Danio rerio: one gene and its partners. The protein of the gene in region 3 binds, or shares a complex with, the protein of the main gene of each other region. Links are inferred from orthologs where the notes say so. Each region holds a gene or a part of one and is shown on either strand. Other genes may lie near its edges.

Region 1 (5,598 bases), on a different chromosome or scaffold from region 3:
GAATAAATTAAATTAATAAATAAGTGGAATCGATGAATTAATTAATTGAATGACTTAACGAATTAATTAATTAATTAATGCCTTAACGAATTAATGAAGTCATTAATTAATCAATCAATCAATCAATCAATCAATAATGAATGAATGAATTAATTTATGAATTGAAACAATCAATATTCAATCAATCAAAATGTGTTATCAAGTATTCTCTAAAAGAGGGTGAGCAATGACAACATTAAGGTCCTCTTTCATGCTTGAAATGTCTTAAACTGAGGGCTATAAACTGCAGATACCTGCAAAGTCTTTGGCCTCCTCTGTGGGTACAGTGCGCACAGTTGCCAGGTCATTTTTATTGCCCACCAGCATGACCACGATATGAGGATCAGCGTGATCATACAGTTCCTTCAGCCAGCGCTCCACGCTCTCATAGGTCAGGTGTTTGGTGATGTCATAGACCAGCAGCGCACCCACTGCTCCTCTGTAATACCTAAAACAAACAGCATTACATGTAAACACACAAGAAACTCAATTGCATTTGGCTCACATGATTCATTATTTGGTTTTTAATAAGTATGTATTGCATCCTACGGGGGAAGCTGGGGGAACGGGATGTTGTAATCACACAATATCTACACTTCAAAGTTTACAAGGTTTCGGCCCAGTAAGATATTAATCGTAACAGTTTACAATAAGGTCCATTAAACTTGAACTTTTGGCTAATGTATTTATTAATAATACTCATTAATTTTCCTTCGGCTTAGTCGCTTATTTATCAGGGGTCACCACAGCGGAATGAGCCGCCAACTATTCCACCATATGTTTTACACAGCAGATGCCCATCCAGCTTTCCTAGAGATGGGTTGTGGCTGGAAGGGCATCCGCTGCGTAAAACATATGCTGGATAAGTTAGCGGTTCATTCCCCTGTGGCGACCCCAGATTAATAAAGGGAATAAGCCGAAAAGAAAATGAATGGATGAATGAATACCCCTCCAGCCGCACACTAGTACTGGGAAAAACCCATACACTCTCACATACACACACAGCCAATTTACTTCATCCATTTCACCTATAGCGCATGTCTTTGGACTGTGGGGGATACCGGAGCACCCGGAGAAAACTCACGCCAACACAGGGAGAACATGCAAATACAGAAATGCCAACAGTAATGAACAGTTAATAATGTTAATTAAGATGCTTTTTCTCTGTATGTCAACAACAACATGAACATTTTTATTCAGTGTGAGCATAGTAAGAAGAATTTATTCAGCAGGAATGCATTAAATTTAAATAAAAGTTACTTTAAAGACATATATAATAAATGTATGGATACTGCCATTCTTTTGAATCTTCTGTTAATTAATGAATCCAGGCAAAAATGCATTACAGTTACTACAAAATTATTAAAAAGCACTACAACGATTTAATAATAAATATCTCGAGTACGTTGGCCATGAGAGCTCAAACATGCTGCAAAGATCTAAAATGTGTTGTAATTATATTTTTATCTCTTATTATCTGACAAATTGCACAATTAACTTTAAATTCACTTCGTTTGAGCTCTCTCGGCCACCGTATTCGACCATTAAACCATCAAATAAAATCTATTGAGATACAAAGCTGTATTCAAAATCCTGGTAATTGATAAAAAAATTATACAGATTTTTTTATTCAAACTTGTAATAACAATTGATAAATTTTAATCAAATAAATGCATCCTTGATAAGCATAAAACCCTTAAAATATATAATAATAATAAATTACCAAATCAAAACTTCTAAATAGTATAATTTACTAATCTAGAAGCATCTTTTAGGAAGAACTCAATATTCTGCAGTATTTCAGTAACTATATATTTAACATAACCATGGTTAAATTCTAATTCCTATCGTCTGAAAACTCTAAAATTTAGTGGTAGGACGGCATCAAGGCATTTCCTAATCAAAATTCTGCTTCACTTCCTTCCTCAGAAGGGACCTTCATCTGATTGAATGTTGAAGGCAGCACAGATGTGTCCATCGCACTTCAATTTTAACCCAGTAACTGGGTATGCCAATATTTGACTAGTTGAAATAGAAATTAGGGTGGCACGGTGGCTCAGTGGTTAGCACTGTCGCCTCACAGCAAGAAGATCTCTGCTTCAAGTCCCAGCTGGGTCAGTTGGCATTTCTGTGTACAGTTTGCATGTTGCCGTGGGTTTCCTCCGGGTGCTCTGGTTGCCCCCACAGTCCAAAGACATGCACTGTAGGTGACTTGAATAAACTAAATTCGCCGTATGTGTGTGAAAGAGTGTGTATGGGTGTTTCCCAGTACAGGGTTTGCACCCAAGATTGCATATGCTGTGTAAAATATATACTGGAACAGTCAGTGGTTCATTCCACTGTGGTTACCTCTGAAATAGAGACTTAGCCAAAGGAAAATAAATGAATGAATGAATGAATGAATGAATGAATGAATGAATGAATGAATGAATGAATGAATGAATGAATGAATGAATTAGAAATTTGACTGGTTGAGTTGAAATAATTTTGCATTTTTAAGTGTAGTGGTAGAAACTTTAAAACACAATCACTTTCTATGCTATAGTAAAATAATGCAAAAAGCACTGTAGCTGTCAGTAACTATCCTTTAAACTGTGTACCAAGTTAAAAAGACATATAGGAGTGGTTCTGGGTGTGAGTCTAAATCAATTGCAACAAATTCCAGATAATCTAAAACAAGGAAATGTACATGAATCTGAGATGAAAGGAAGATGAAGTGAGGGACGTACGCTGAGGTGATGGCCCTGTAGCGCTCTAGACCCGCAGTGTCCCAGATCTGGGCTTTGATGGTGATACTGTCCACCTGAACAGAGCGAGTGCTGAACTCCACGCCAATAGTGGTGCGACTGTCATGGTTGAACTCGTTTTTGGTAAACCTTGACAGCAGGTTGCTCTTTCCAACCCCTGATTCTCCAATTAAAACCACTGAAAGACAACCAAGACAGCATTTAACTTACTTTGAATGATGCGTAGTTAAAGGAAAATACAATTTCCACACTTCACTAGTTGCAAACCTGTTTGACATTCTTTCTTCTGTTGAACACAAAAGAAGATATTTAGAAAAATGCTGGAAACCTGTTTCCATTGACTTCCATTGTATTTGTTTTCCTACTATGAAAGTCAATGGTTACAGATTTTTAACTTTCCTCAAAATATCTTCATATCTATTCTGGAACCGCTTGAAGGTGAATAAATAGTGAGTAAATATTAATTTTTGGGTGAACTACCCCTTTCAATTTCTGACACAATTGGAAATACATGAAAATACAAAATAACAAATATCTTTTATATATTAGATTAGCATGCTAGGCATCAGACGCAGCAATCACAGTAAAAGCATTTAATCTTCAATCAGCTGACTGAAACTTACCTTTGAAGACAAAGTTGTAGGCTAAATCTGTCCCCATGTTGTCTCTAGCTGTAATGTGTCAGTCTGTGTTTAGTGCATACGTGTTACTCGAGCTCAGAATCCACTGGGAGGAGAAAAGCAGATGCTCAGGTTTCTCCGACAGCTTTATTGATCCATTCTTGCAGGTCTAAATGCAGATTCAGCCAGACTCTTCTTTGAGACAGTTTGGGTGGGAAAGCAGGTGAAACTGGTAGAACCACTGACACACACACACACACACACACACAATGGGAGTGACTTCATTCTCTCACACACACTACTGTTAAATCACCGTTCCTTCACTCCGACTGCGTGTATGTATCCAGTTCTGTATGCGCAAAAACAAATATCAGAAGAGCTGAGTCAGAAAAACAAGCCGTCCTGCATCAACATGTATCTTTATAGGCAACAGGTTGAGTTTCTGTAAACATAAAATAAAAGGGGTTTTGATTAGTTTGACGTAATCAAAACAAAAGCTTTGAATTTAGCTCATTTTAATGCAAATTTACCTGTTTAGCCCAGTGTTTGGCTCATGTTTAGGCTTGTGAATCACACCTCTGCTGTTCATGCATCTTTTTTCACAATAACCATTGTGTATATTGTTTGGTACAGACAGCCAGGGGTGTGAAATATGTGTGTAATCTTATTAAATGAATGTTCATTCATTCATTTTCCTTCAGCTTTCCTTCAGCTTTCCTTCAAGATCGACACAGTGGAGTGAACCGCCAACTATTTTAGCATATGTTTTATGCAGCGGATGCACTTACAGCGTTGCAACCAGGGTGCGAATTACAGGGGGTTTCGCGGGAGAACTGACCCCCCTAAATAATGCTTTATCCCACCTGAAGCACATCAAAACAGCGTGTATGGGGGTCAGTCCTCTAAAAAGAGAGAAATAGAGGTTACTCTGATTTGTTTCTTAAAAGATAATATAAAAACTGATAATAATAGGGGCGTCACAGTGGCACAGTAGGTAGCACCATCGCCTTACAACAAGAAGGTTGCTGGTTCAAGCCCCGGCTGGGTCAGTTGGCATTTCTGTGTGGAGTTTGCGTGTTCTCCCTGTGTTCGCATGGGTTTCCTCCGTGTTCTCCGATTTCCCCCACAGTCCAAAGACATGTGCTATATAGGTGAATTGGGTATAGACCATAGATAAATTGTCCATAGTGTGTGTGAATGAGTGTGTATGGGTGTTCCCCAGTGATGCAGCTGGAAGGGCATCTGTTGTGTAAAACATATGCTATAAGTAGGCCCACACAGAATCTGCGCACACAGAATTCTGCAGATTTTCCGCAGAATTCTGCAGATTTCTGCAGATTTTTAGCCCATCATTAATTCTGTTTATTTACTTGAGTAAGTGTGTATATCTGAATTTATTCAGTTTTTATTCAGTAATTTATTTCTTTTTATTTAATACATTAAGGTCTTAGTTATGATACTCTGCTGGATACTCCCAAAATAATTCCGCAGAAAACCACAGATTTTTACCAAAATTCTCAGCAGAAATAGCAAAAAACGTCCGCAGATTCCGTCTGGCCCTGGCTATAAGTTGGCGGTTTATTCTGCTGTAGCAACTTCTGATTAATAAATGGACTGAAAATAAAATAAAATGAATGAAAAAAATAGATTATATATACATTTGACCACCCCTATATTTATTCATATCATTGTGAATGCACAATCAGTCTATGTGAGAAACAAATTATTTATCAGTCTGAAACCATCAGATCAAAGCACCGATAGACAACCAAAGTGTTCGTAAGACACTTTTCTTGTAAAACAGCAGTTTGTTTCTACATATAACCTGAAAGTGAACTCAAATTAGATGCATAGTTTTTATAGTTTGACCTACAGTAAACTCTGGAATAGCTAATCAGAGGATATCGTAGGTCAGAATACACTAAATATCGCACAAAACACTGGAAACTTAAATATGTTTATTAATAAATCAGATTAATTAAACTAGCTCAAATAAATACATTCATGTGATTCACTAAAGCATGTATTACACAAACTAACGTTAACATACCAAAAAGGTTACCCTCCTGTTGGTGAATGTATAATTTGCACCTTGGGCACAACCCAGTACTGGAAAACACCCATACACTCTATCATTCACACACACATTCATACACAGGGCCAATTTAGTTTATTTAATTCACCTATAGCAC
Region 2 (5,413 bases), on a different chromosome or scaffold from region 3:
TTCACACAAAAATTTCTTCATCATTTACTCAAATTCACATCAACAATTCATAGTTTTCCTTTCCCCTTTAACATATCGATTCTCAATATCGTTACTATCTGTGACATTGTTTTCTACAGTAGGAAGGAACATGAGCATTGTCTGATTAATAAGCAGCAAATAATTATGTCTGGGCAAAGGCGTTTATTTCCGTCAGCATTGTGGAGTGAATGTACCACTGAACTTGTATGTGGCTCATACCAACAATTTTCCTCCTGCTTTCACACACACAGCAGAATTCCTGCTATTTCCTGGTCATGTTACAACTTCTCATTGCAAAAAAAAAAAAAAAAAAGGAACACAATTTCTGGCATTTTAAAAGGGCCTGTTCACACATGATCTCTTTACTGCAATTTACCAGTACCAGAAAAAGATTGTATATGTAAAAGCGGCCATTAACATCCAAAACATGAGCTGTATATTGTACAATTAAAATGATAACAATTATTAAGTTATTCACCTAAAAATATGAGTAAATAAGAAAAAATAAGGCACAATAAAAAACTGTAAAATTTATAGTAAATGCTGTAGTATTGTACTGCAGTAAAATACTTGAATTACAATCGGTTTTGGTTACTCTATAGTTGCTCTTGTAACACGAAAAATATGCTAATATAAGCAAACGACACAAATACTGTAGTTTTCCACAACGATATGTTACATTATACTACAATACACCACCACAGTTTGCTGTATTAAAAAAAAATTATATTAAAGTATTTATGACAGTTTATCAGATGACAATTAACATTACAGCTTACTGAAGCATTCCCTATCTAAGTGTTGTAAATATTATAATATATACTGTTGAATATACTTTACTATAAAAGACTATGGAACAACGTAGTTTTTATTATATATTAATATAGTACTTTTTCACGTGGAATGAATTTATTACAAAATAGATACAAGTGAAAAAAATAAATAAATAAAATACGGCAAATAAGCAAATAAGCAAATAAGCGTGTTACAATGTAACTTAAATGAAACCAAATATTTTTCTCTCTTTATAGTATAAATTATGGAGTCAGATCAGTCTAAAAATACATTTACAAAATAGGATTCATACATGCATAGCACAATTCACATTTACAAAATCCAATTTGGATTTACACACAATTTGTGATTTTACAAGTAAACATCCTAATATTTTCGCCAAATGAATTGGATTTGTGTATATATGAATCGTGTTTTGAACTTAGGAATCGATTTGTGTATTTATGAATTGTGTGTTGAACTTACAAATTGGATTTGTGCAATTATTAATCATGTTTTGAACTTACTAACTGGATTTGTGTATTTATGAATCATGTTTTGAACTTACGAGCTGGATTTGTGCATTTATGAATCATGTTTTGAATTTAATAATTGAATTTGTGCATTTATAAATTGTGTTTTGAATTTGTGAATTTGATTTCTATTTATGAACTGTGTTTTTAATTTTATGAATTGGATTTATGTATTTACGAATTGTGTTTAGAACATACAAATTGGATTTTGTAAATGTGTATTGTTTTGTGAATATATGAATCATATTTTGTAAATGTATTATTTTTGAGACTGATCTGGCTCCATAATAAATTGGCTCAATTGAGACGGTGGTTCCTTACAAAAACATATGTCTTATACTTCATTATATAAAATGCCCTTGGTGAACAGAAATAATACACAATGAATAAAAATAATAAATAATCCTGCTTTTATTTTGACAGTCTGTAAGGGCCCTCACCCGGAACACTTGAGGAGATGTTCTCTGGTTCGCCTGCTCGCTAAGCCGTTAGCATGGCTACTGCCTAATCACAGACAGACTGCAGTGCCGCAGCGGAGAGGACAGCGACGGGTCGCCTCCACTTTCCTTCACATTCTTCCATTGTTTGCGCTTTTGTTTTGATCGAGATGGGGACACGAGACGACGAATACGACTACTTGTTTAAAGGTAAGTACGTAATACTTTTGTCGCGACTGTACAAGTTAAAGCGTCTCCGATCATCGTGGTTATTGTTAGTTAGTGTGGTTTTATATTAAACAGTAAAGGCCAGCTAACCGGCTAGCTCACTTCGAGCAGCCCAAACAAACTCCTGCTCTTCGGCTGGAGTAGCGTATTTGAGTCTGTATCGTTATATGTATAATATTATTTAGTTACTGTGCATTGGGTTAATATAGATGTTGGTTAGCATAAAAAACACAGTTTTCCAGAGATCCGACCACACCTTGAAGCGGCTAGCTGAAGTTAGCTGACACTGTCGCTGGATGAGTTTAACGGAGCAGGCGGAAATGGGAAACGGCCTGTATTCCCGAATGTTTTTTCAAGCCTGTGTGTCTTTGTTGTTTTTTTGGCCATAATATATTTTGATATACTTAAACCACCGTTCGCTGTCATTATATCTTAGTTCATATACTAAAACTGAACTGTGACCGACGCTGTCATGACGTTTAACATCTCCTTTTGTATTCCACCGAGATAAAAAACATCATATGACATTGAAGCAACTTGAACAACGAAGGAATTTCTTCAATTTGGATGAACTGTTCTTTTAAATAGATAATTATTTGTGTCAGTTTGTTGTCTTGGAAGTAAATACTAGATGTCAGGTGATGCGGCCTGTTTTTCTCGAATATGTTGCTCATCGTTTTTCTTTCATTAAGCAAATGTGGAGTTTCTATCATTTGGAATAAGCTCTTGAAACAATAAGTTTAGTCATATTTGCAGCACAGTTGACTCATTACGTATGTTTTCACTTCTGTGAGACACATGTAGTCATTTAAGAAGTTCTGTGCTGTCACGTGAATCGTAGTGATAGTAAACTAGCTACCTCTACCTGTCTTCACGTAAGCCCAGAACCACTCGGAAATCTCCACCAGTTTCTGTCATAACAAAATGTCAAAAAATGTCACCAAAAATGGTAATCTCACCCACATTGTGAAATAAATAAATATATATATATATTTTTTGCCATTTATTTAAATGTACTTCTCTCAAATGATGTTGTGTGGTGTGTTGTGACATAGAGCTCTGAGTGTGAAGAGGTTTGTTCCTTTATTTAATGTAGACAGAAGTGTTTGTGTAAAGAGTCATTTAACTTAAAAATTAAAATGTGGCAATCGTTTACTCACCCTCATGTCATTCAAACCAACATTTCCATTCATCTTTGAATTGAAAATAAATTTGACAGATCCCTTCACTGAAAGTCCATCTAATAAAAACTGACAATTTATGAAATTCATAAGTAGATCTGGCACGATAACCGTTTTCAAGGTAAACTGTGGTTCAGAAAAGGTTTTGAAACTGCCAAAATATTCTGCTATACCATTTAAGATATATTATATAAGATTTTTTTAAAACATTTTTTTTTTCGAAGATGCTCTTTTGATTCGTAAAGAAATCTGTGTTTTTGAAACTAACGAGTAAAGCAGAAGTCTGTCCGTGCCAATAGCCTAGTGGTGAAGTGTGCTGACATTGCACCATGGTGCTCATGTCGACCCGAGTTCAATTCCTGGCTCAAGGTCCTTTGCTGACCCTTCCCCTCTGCTCCCAATACTTTCCTGTCTGCAAACTTTACTGTCCTTTCAAATAAAAGTGAAAAAACCCTAAAAAATAACTATAAAAAAGGAATACAGCAGAAGTCAATGGCTGCCTCCGAAATCGCCTACTACTCAGTAGATACTGCATTTGAATTTAAATGTACTACTAAATCTGCTGTTTAAAAAGTATATTCTGTACAGTATGAATGGAACTCGGATGTACTACATACTCCATTTTGTCATGATTACGTGACCTACCTGTATAAGTTGCGTCGCTTCACTCTCATTCAAAAATTCTCCCACAGGGCATTATGAGATAGCACAGTGTGTATCGAATGCACAATTCTCGCATATACTGTTTTTTGAATTCTATGAATTTGGACACACTGGTCCGGTCTCATACTGTTTTAGCGTAATTTATGATATAGAAGTATAGACACATTTCGGACACAGCCAATGATCCATTTGAATTTAGCCTGACATGTTTACAGTTCCAAAATATTTTAAATATTTCTTAAAATAAAATGATGTATTGTGTTCAGAGGGGGAAAAGTTTTTGTTTTTTACCCAGACATTTAAAAAGAATATATTTTAGAGCAGTGATCACTATACTGTGAAACCGTGATGTTTTATCCAAGATTATCATACCACCAGAATCTTACACCAGCCCATGCCTGTTCATTAGCACTCTAAATTTATCAGGCTCTTAAATCCAGTGCTTTTGAAGAGAAGTTATTGTTTTATATGATGAACCCATTTTGATTGGTTGTCATATTTTAATACTGACGGACATGCATATTTAGAGTCAATCAAATATGGTAAACAAACTGTCAACATTTTGATAAAATTCTCATGTTTTACGTAGAAAGTTTTAAGTTGAATTTTGAAGCATATCAGAAGTCTTGTATGCTGAAAAATGACTATGTAAAATGTAGTTTCTTTTTTGAGTTTTTGCGCTCCAAAATTTGTTAAACAATGAATTGTATGTGTGGAATTAAGTAAAATTAGATTTTTTTTTATGCTCGCTTTTCTTGAAAACATGTAAATAGTTGATTTCCTATCACAGTTTCTCTATTGTTTGAGTGTGAATGTCATTTTGAGTAGAAAATGAACTGCAGATGTCATAAACTCAATTTATAATACCTGACAACAACAGCAATGAAATGGCAGTGTAAATTTACCTGGAAAACTGGAAAGTGCAAAATGCTCCAGGGTGTGTTGGGAACAACAGTTTCAGAAAGTTGATATTTATTGTTATTGCTTTCATATATATTTGGGAGTCACGACCAAAACAACAAAGGATTCAAAGAAAAATATACTTTTTAGAAATTTTATTGAGCAGTAATTTAGAATATTGATTTTCATTGCTGACTTTATTGTTTAATGTTTTTTTATGTTTTAGTATTTTCTTCATCACAGAATCGTTTATTTAATCAGTGTAGTAGTTTGGAAAGACACAAGGCTTGAGTAAATAATGTGAGAAGCCTAATTTGTTATGTGATCTATGTCAGATATTACACCATGTTGTGTTTTATTTTGAAGTGGTCCTAATTGGAGACTCTGGTGTGGGGAAGAGTAACCTGCTGTCTCGTTTCACTCGCAATGAATTCAACCTCGAGAGCAAAAGCACTATTGGAGTGGAGTTCGCCACACGTAGCATTCAGGTGGATGGAAAGACCGTCAAGGCTCAGATCTGGGACACGGCAGGACAGGAGCGCTACCGAGCCATCACTTCAGCGTAAGACTTATTACAGATTCCAGTTTTAAAGTTTAACTGCCTGTTCATAGCAAAGATCTCTATAGAAGTTATTTTAATCTTGTGATATTCCTCCAAAACACAACTTAAACACAA
Region 3 (4,326 bases):
AATACATACTTACAGTTAGTAGTTTTAAATAATATTTGATCAAAAGCTCTTTTGTGTGTGTGTGTGTGTGGGGTGGGGGGGTGGGGGGCATGTAATGAATGCATAGCAGTGCAGATATGAAACAATGAACAGAGAAATAAAACATACTCAAATGGTAAGAGTAAACTGCACTACAGTTAATGTTACTCTGAACTGATTCTTTTTGGCCAGCTACATATAATGCAGAACATTATTTAATATCATGTGTAAGTCAATTGTACAACATGTTTGTAAGATTTTTACAGTAAATAAATCATTTAACACATATGCCTGTATTAAAATGGTACAAAATCTAGCAAGTAAACAGCACTATATGGAAAAACGTAACATTCCAACTTGCACAAAACCAAGTAAAGGTCATATTTCAAAGACTGACATGAAATAAGAGCCATAACGACAGCACTGTGTAACACTGCTCGTGGCACTGAATGATTTTGACGTGAGTTGTCAATTACACACATGTAAACCTCTCCAAATACATACTAAAAGGTAGGTAAATAAACCTTTAAACAAACAAAACATGAATAATTTACATCTAGATTAGAACACAACACTTTCTCATTGTGACCCAATATTAGAGAAGACGTGACTTCCTTTCCTGTAAACTAACCAGCACAGTGTTTCTTTTTACCATGTCATTCAGGAAAAACTACACTTGGAAAGATTTCAGCTGATCTACAGTATATACACTCAAATTATACATTATGTTGTTTTATAAATAAAAAAAAAAATTATGGGTAATTATTGTCTAAAGAACTGCCTGGTATAAAGTTTCATTAAGAGCTAACATATTATACCCTTTAAAGTATAAACTACATCTCCATTACAATCATTCTAGTTTTCTCAAATGCACATTTTTTCAGTGTCTGGTGTGCAAATGCACCGATGTTGTTCAAAAAACACACACACTCCAGTGTAACATTGTTATGTTCGAAAAATAAACATTGAAAAAAAAACGGTTACGATGAAAAATAAATGCTCAGATTACCATAAATGATAGCCAATGTACTTTTCTGAAAAGATATGTACCGTAGGTAACAGGAAATGAGACAAATCCCAGTAATCCCTGTAAGAAGTGTATAAATATTCAAGAGTACTGGCTTGAAATCTAAAATTAATTAATTGAGTCAAAAAAAATCTTCTTTTTTTATTCTAAAAATGCCTGAAAACACATAATAGTTTAGCACAATTGCAAAACATACAGTATATATGAATATATATATATATATATATACACTGTATGTAAACTGATGCTGTGAATTATTTGTTTTAATAAATCTTTTTGTGCAGCTGATGAAAAAGGTTTTAAGTATCTTTGATTGACTTGGTTGGTTTAAAACTTGCATTTTAAAATACAAACATCTTCCCAAGTTTGTAACAGGAATGGTTAATAAATTTGTTGTAAACAAAATAAAAGTATTTCTTTTGGAAATTCTAAGAGATTCATTCTGGTTTTCCAGCAAAAAACAAGTTCACTGTTCATTAAACAAAGTCATAGAAGCGTTGGTCAATTTTGGCAGGTATAAACTATAACGCAAACTGTAAACAATCATTGTTTTTTCTATGTGATTCTGGTGTAGTAAACATGATAAACATAGTAATAAATCCGACTGTCTGAACGTTTCTATAAACGTTTTGAACTAAATGACTACAAAGACCAATTAAATTAACGTATTCACTTTCATTTTAAATTTACTGGCTCCGTTAAAATAAGAAATTGAGTTTCATAACTTGCTGAAAGTAGATTTGCAATACTTCTGTGTTTGACATATTGATTAAATAGCTACATTTTAATAAAATGGTCAAAACTAGGGAAATATATGGATGCCATATCAGTATCTGTAAATAAATGCTTATTTGTAATGTTACTGTTATTGGCCCGTTAGAATGATGTCACAGTGTGGTAGTTTTCCATTGTGTGTGTGTTTTTAACACATTTCCTTGCAGTTTCCTTATTTGCTGTAGATAAGGTTTAAAATAAAATATGTTTGCCCACTGTCTGCCATTTGTTTCTGTAATCAGACAGATTATTTTTATCGGCCTATTTATATATCACTTATCGGCTTCCAAACATAGTGATATCGGATATCAGTAATCAAAATTTCCCCAGTCAAAACAATCAGTCTACAATCTTTGACTGTTCTGTGATAAACGGAATATATTCATAAGCAGAACTTTCCAATTCAACATTCAGATTAAAGTCTTTGGAAACTGGATGCTCATTTCTACACTTCTGCGACACGTTTCTTTTGTTTCTGGGACTTAAAAGTGAACCGTGTCATTCATATATGCCATATGCTCACTGCAATTAAGCTCAAAATAAATATTTAGTAGTGTATTCCGTATCAGCGTATTATTATTTGTTAGATATATACGAGTACCATAAGCTTTCAGTACCAGCATCCTGTAACCAACCAATCAATATGGCACCAAACACAAGTCTCCATCACTTGTTTACACTTATTATTAGAATTACCCTGTCAAACCCAAGAGTGGTCTTCCAGTAAATCAACACCCCCGCTGCTAAAACATCCAGTAAACATGCGTTTCTATGTCCGGTGGTGCCACTAATTTATGTTTCCATTTTTGCATATGACAAATGTGTACCTCAACTGATCGGGAGCAGCTTTTGCAGCGTGAGTTCAGTCACAGCAAATTCAAGGCCTCATATAGATAGTCCACCCCAGTGATAAATGTAAAACACAGTAGTACCAAGACTTTTAAGTGCTGAATTCTGTTATACTGACTGAATTCAAAGTAAAAGTCAACTTAAACACAGTTATTTTCGGTAAAAACACAAGAACGCTGCTCTTAGCTAGGAATGACTGCTCGTGAATATTAAAAAAAATATTCACTCATCATGTATTAATTGACAGCTCAAAGGAATCTTAAAAACAGAAATCTAAATAAAGTCATGGAAAAAATCTAAATAGGGGGGTTTGGCATCTCCACATTTAGTGCCTGGCTTCTGTCACAATGTTCTTGCAAACCTAGAGTAACTTTATCACATGAAATTTGTCTATGTGTGAACAAATAGACCTGTGTTCAATCCCAGGTGACACTCCAGGGTCCTTTATCAAGCAATATATATATTTTGCCAGAAATCTTAAGCTACAATATTCTTCAGTGATTCTTTACTTTTTCGAGATCTTTCCAGCTTTTCTCTTGGGCTCATAGGGTGTTCTCAGGATGCTGGGCGTCTCTTCCATTACCCTGACCAGCAGGTTATCAATGTAGTCCTCCAACTCCCGAATATGAGCATCTTTCTTCTTTACAACATCCTTCTGCTTAATGAGCTCTTGCACAACTTCCTCAAAGGAGAGATTGCTGTAGGCCGCTACACTCGTCTGCAGATGTTCAAGGTCCTATTTATGAAGAAAAACACATGGCATTACATTGTTATTGCATAAAAAAACCTCCTGAAACCACTATTTAATCGCTTGTAGCATGCTGGGAAATTAAACTTCTATTCCAATTAATCACATGCTTCTTTTGGCATTCAACATTTTATGTCCAAACTTCAACTTGCCAATAAGTTCATCTGAAGGCTTTGTGTTAGATTGTAAGTGGACACAAGCAGTAGCTGAACTGATCTAGGACAGCAAAGAGGATCTAAAATATATTGACTTTTTGACCAGATTCACTTCCAGGAAATTTTATTGTTTGCAATATACCATAAAAACTTTCCTCACGATAAAAAGTTATATAACATAACATAACATAATATAATATAATATAATATAATATAATATAATATAATATAATATAATATAATATAATATAATATAATATAGAACCTATAATTGGTTATTACGGTGTGTGATAGTTTTGTGAGCATTGAGTCTGTTTACATTTATATATATATATATATATATATATATATATATATATATATATATAGTATTGATTTTTTTGGTATAGATTTTTGTAAATGTAGTTGGCTTTTCATATTGTTTTTCTTTTCCTAGTTAACTGGCTAATTGGGATAGCTTTTGGTTTCAGGTTTGTTTACAGTCTACAGAAAAAAAACATTCATAGGATGATTTTATTAAAATAATTTCGATTTTTGGATGAAACAGTGTTTGCGATTTACTATACTGTCTACACAATAAAACTAGACTATATAAAAGTTACTTTGCACAGTTTTGATATCACATCTCTGCAAAAATGTCAGAAAATGTATTAAAAACAGTGGTGTAACAGATCAAGATTATTCAAAGTACCCATACTAGTTTCAGTGACTGTTTTCTGGAAATAGCATACATTAGAATAGTGTGATTGACCAAT

What was found.
Region 1: the proteins of rab11fip2 (region 3) and rab25a are in contact, whole or in part, in a crystal structure (PDB 3TSO), measured with the Homo sapiens proteins. The link is inferred for Danio rerio from reciprocal best matches to the Homo sapiens genes RAB11FIP2 and RAB25. Residues at the interface, in NP_055719.1 of Homo sapiens: Arg475, Glu478, Ile481, Asp482, Asn483, Leu485, Val486, Met489, Pro493, Ser494, Leu496, Arg497, Val498, Pro499; in NP_065120.2 of Homo sapiens: Arg34, Ile45, Gly46, Val47, Glu48, Phe49, Ser50, Thr51, Lys62, Trp66, Arg73, Arg75, Ala76, Ile77, Ala80, Tyr81.
Region 2: the proteins of rab11fip2 (region 3) and rab11a are in contact, whole or in part, in a crystal structure (PDB 2GZD), measured with the Homo sapiens proteins. The link is inferred for Danio rerio from reciprocal best matches to the Homo sapiens genes RAB11FIP2 and RAB11A. Residues at the interface, in NP_055719.1 of Homo sapiens: Glu478, Ile481, Asp482, Asn483, Leu485, Val486, Met489, Glu490, Pro493, Ser494, Leu496, Arg497, Val498; in NP_004654.1 of Homo sapiens: Arg33, Ile44, Gly45, Val46, Glu47, Phe48, Ala49, Thr50, Lys61, Trp65, Arg72, Arg74, Ala75, Ile76, Ala79, Tyr80, Arg82.

Annotation. Positions count from the first base shown.
Region 1 is NC_133194.1:8,473,088-8,478,685, forward strand, and holds the start of rab25a (ras-related protein Rab-25a), read right to left. Parts: upstream 3,599-5,598; 5' UTR 3,447-3,598; coding exon 3,410-3,446; intron 2,965-3,409; coding exon 2,769-2,964; intron 488-2,768; coding exon 294-487; intron 1-293. UniProt on the Homo sapiens protein: The small GTPases Rab are key regulators of intracellular membrane trafficking, from the formation of transport vesicles to their fusion with membranes.
Region 2 is NC_133193.1:20,515,650-20,521,062, forward strand, and holds the start of rab11a (ras-related protein Rab-11A), read left to right. Parts: upstream 1-1,815; 5' UTR 1,816-1,935; coding exon 1,936-1,975; intron 1,976-5,103; coding exon 5,104-5,299; intron 5,300-5,413. UniProt on the Homo sapiens protein: The small GTPases Rab are key regulators of intracellular membrane trafficking, from the formation of transport vesicles to their fusion with membranes.
Region 3 is NC_133188.1:22,724,183-22,728,508, forward strand, and holds part of rab11fip2 (rab11 family-interacting protein 2), read right to left. Parts: intron 3,405-4,326; coding exon 3,174-3,404; 3' UTR 1-3,173. UniProt on the Homo sapiens protein: A Rab11 effector binding preferentially phosphatidylinositol 3,4,5-trisphosphate (PtdInsP3) and phosphatidic acid (PA) and acting in the regulation of the transport of vesicles from the endosomal recycling compartment (ERC) to the plasma membrane.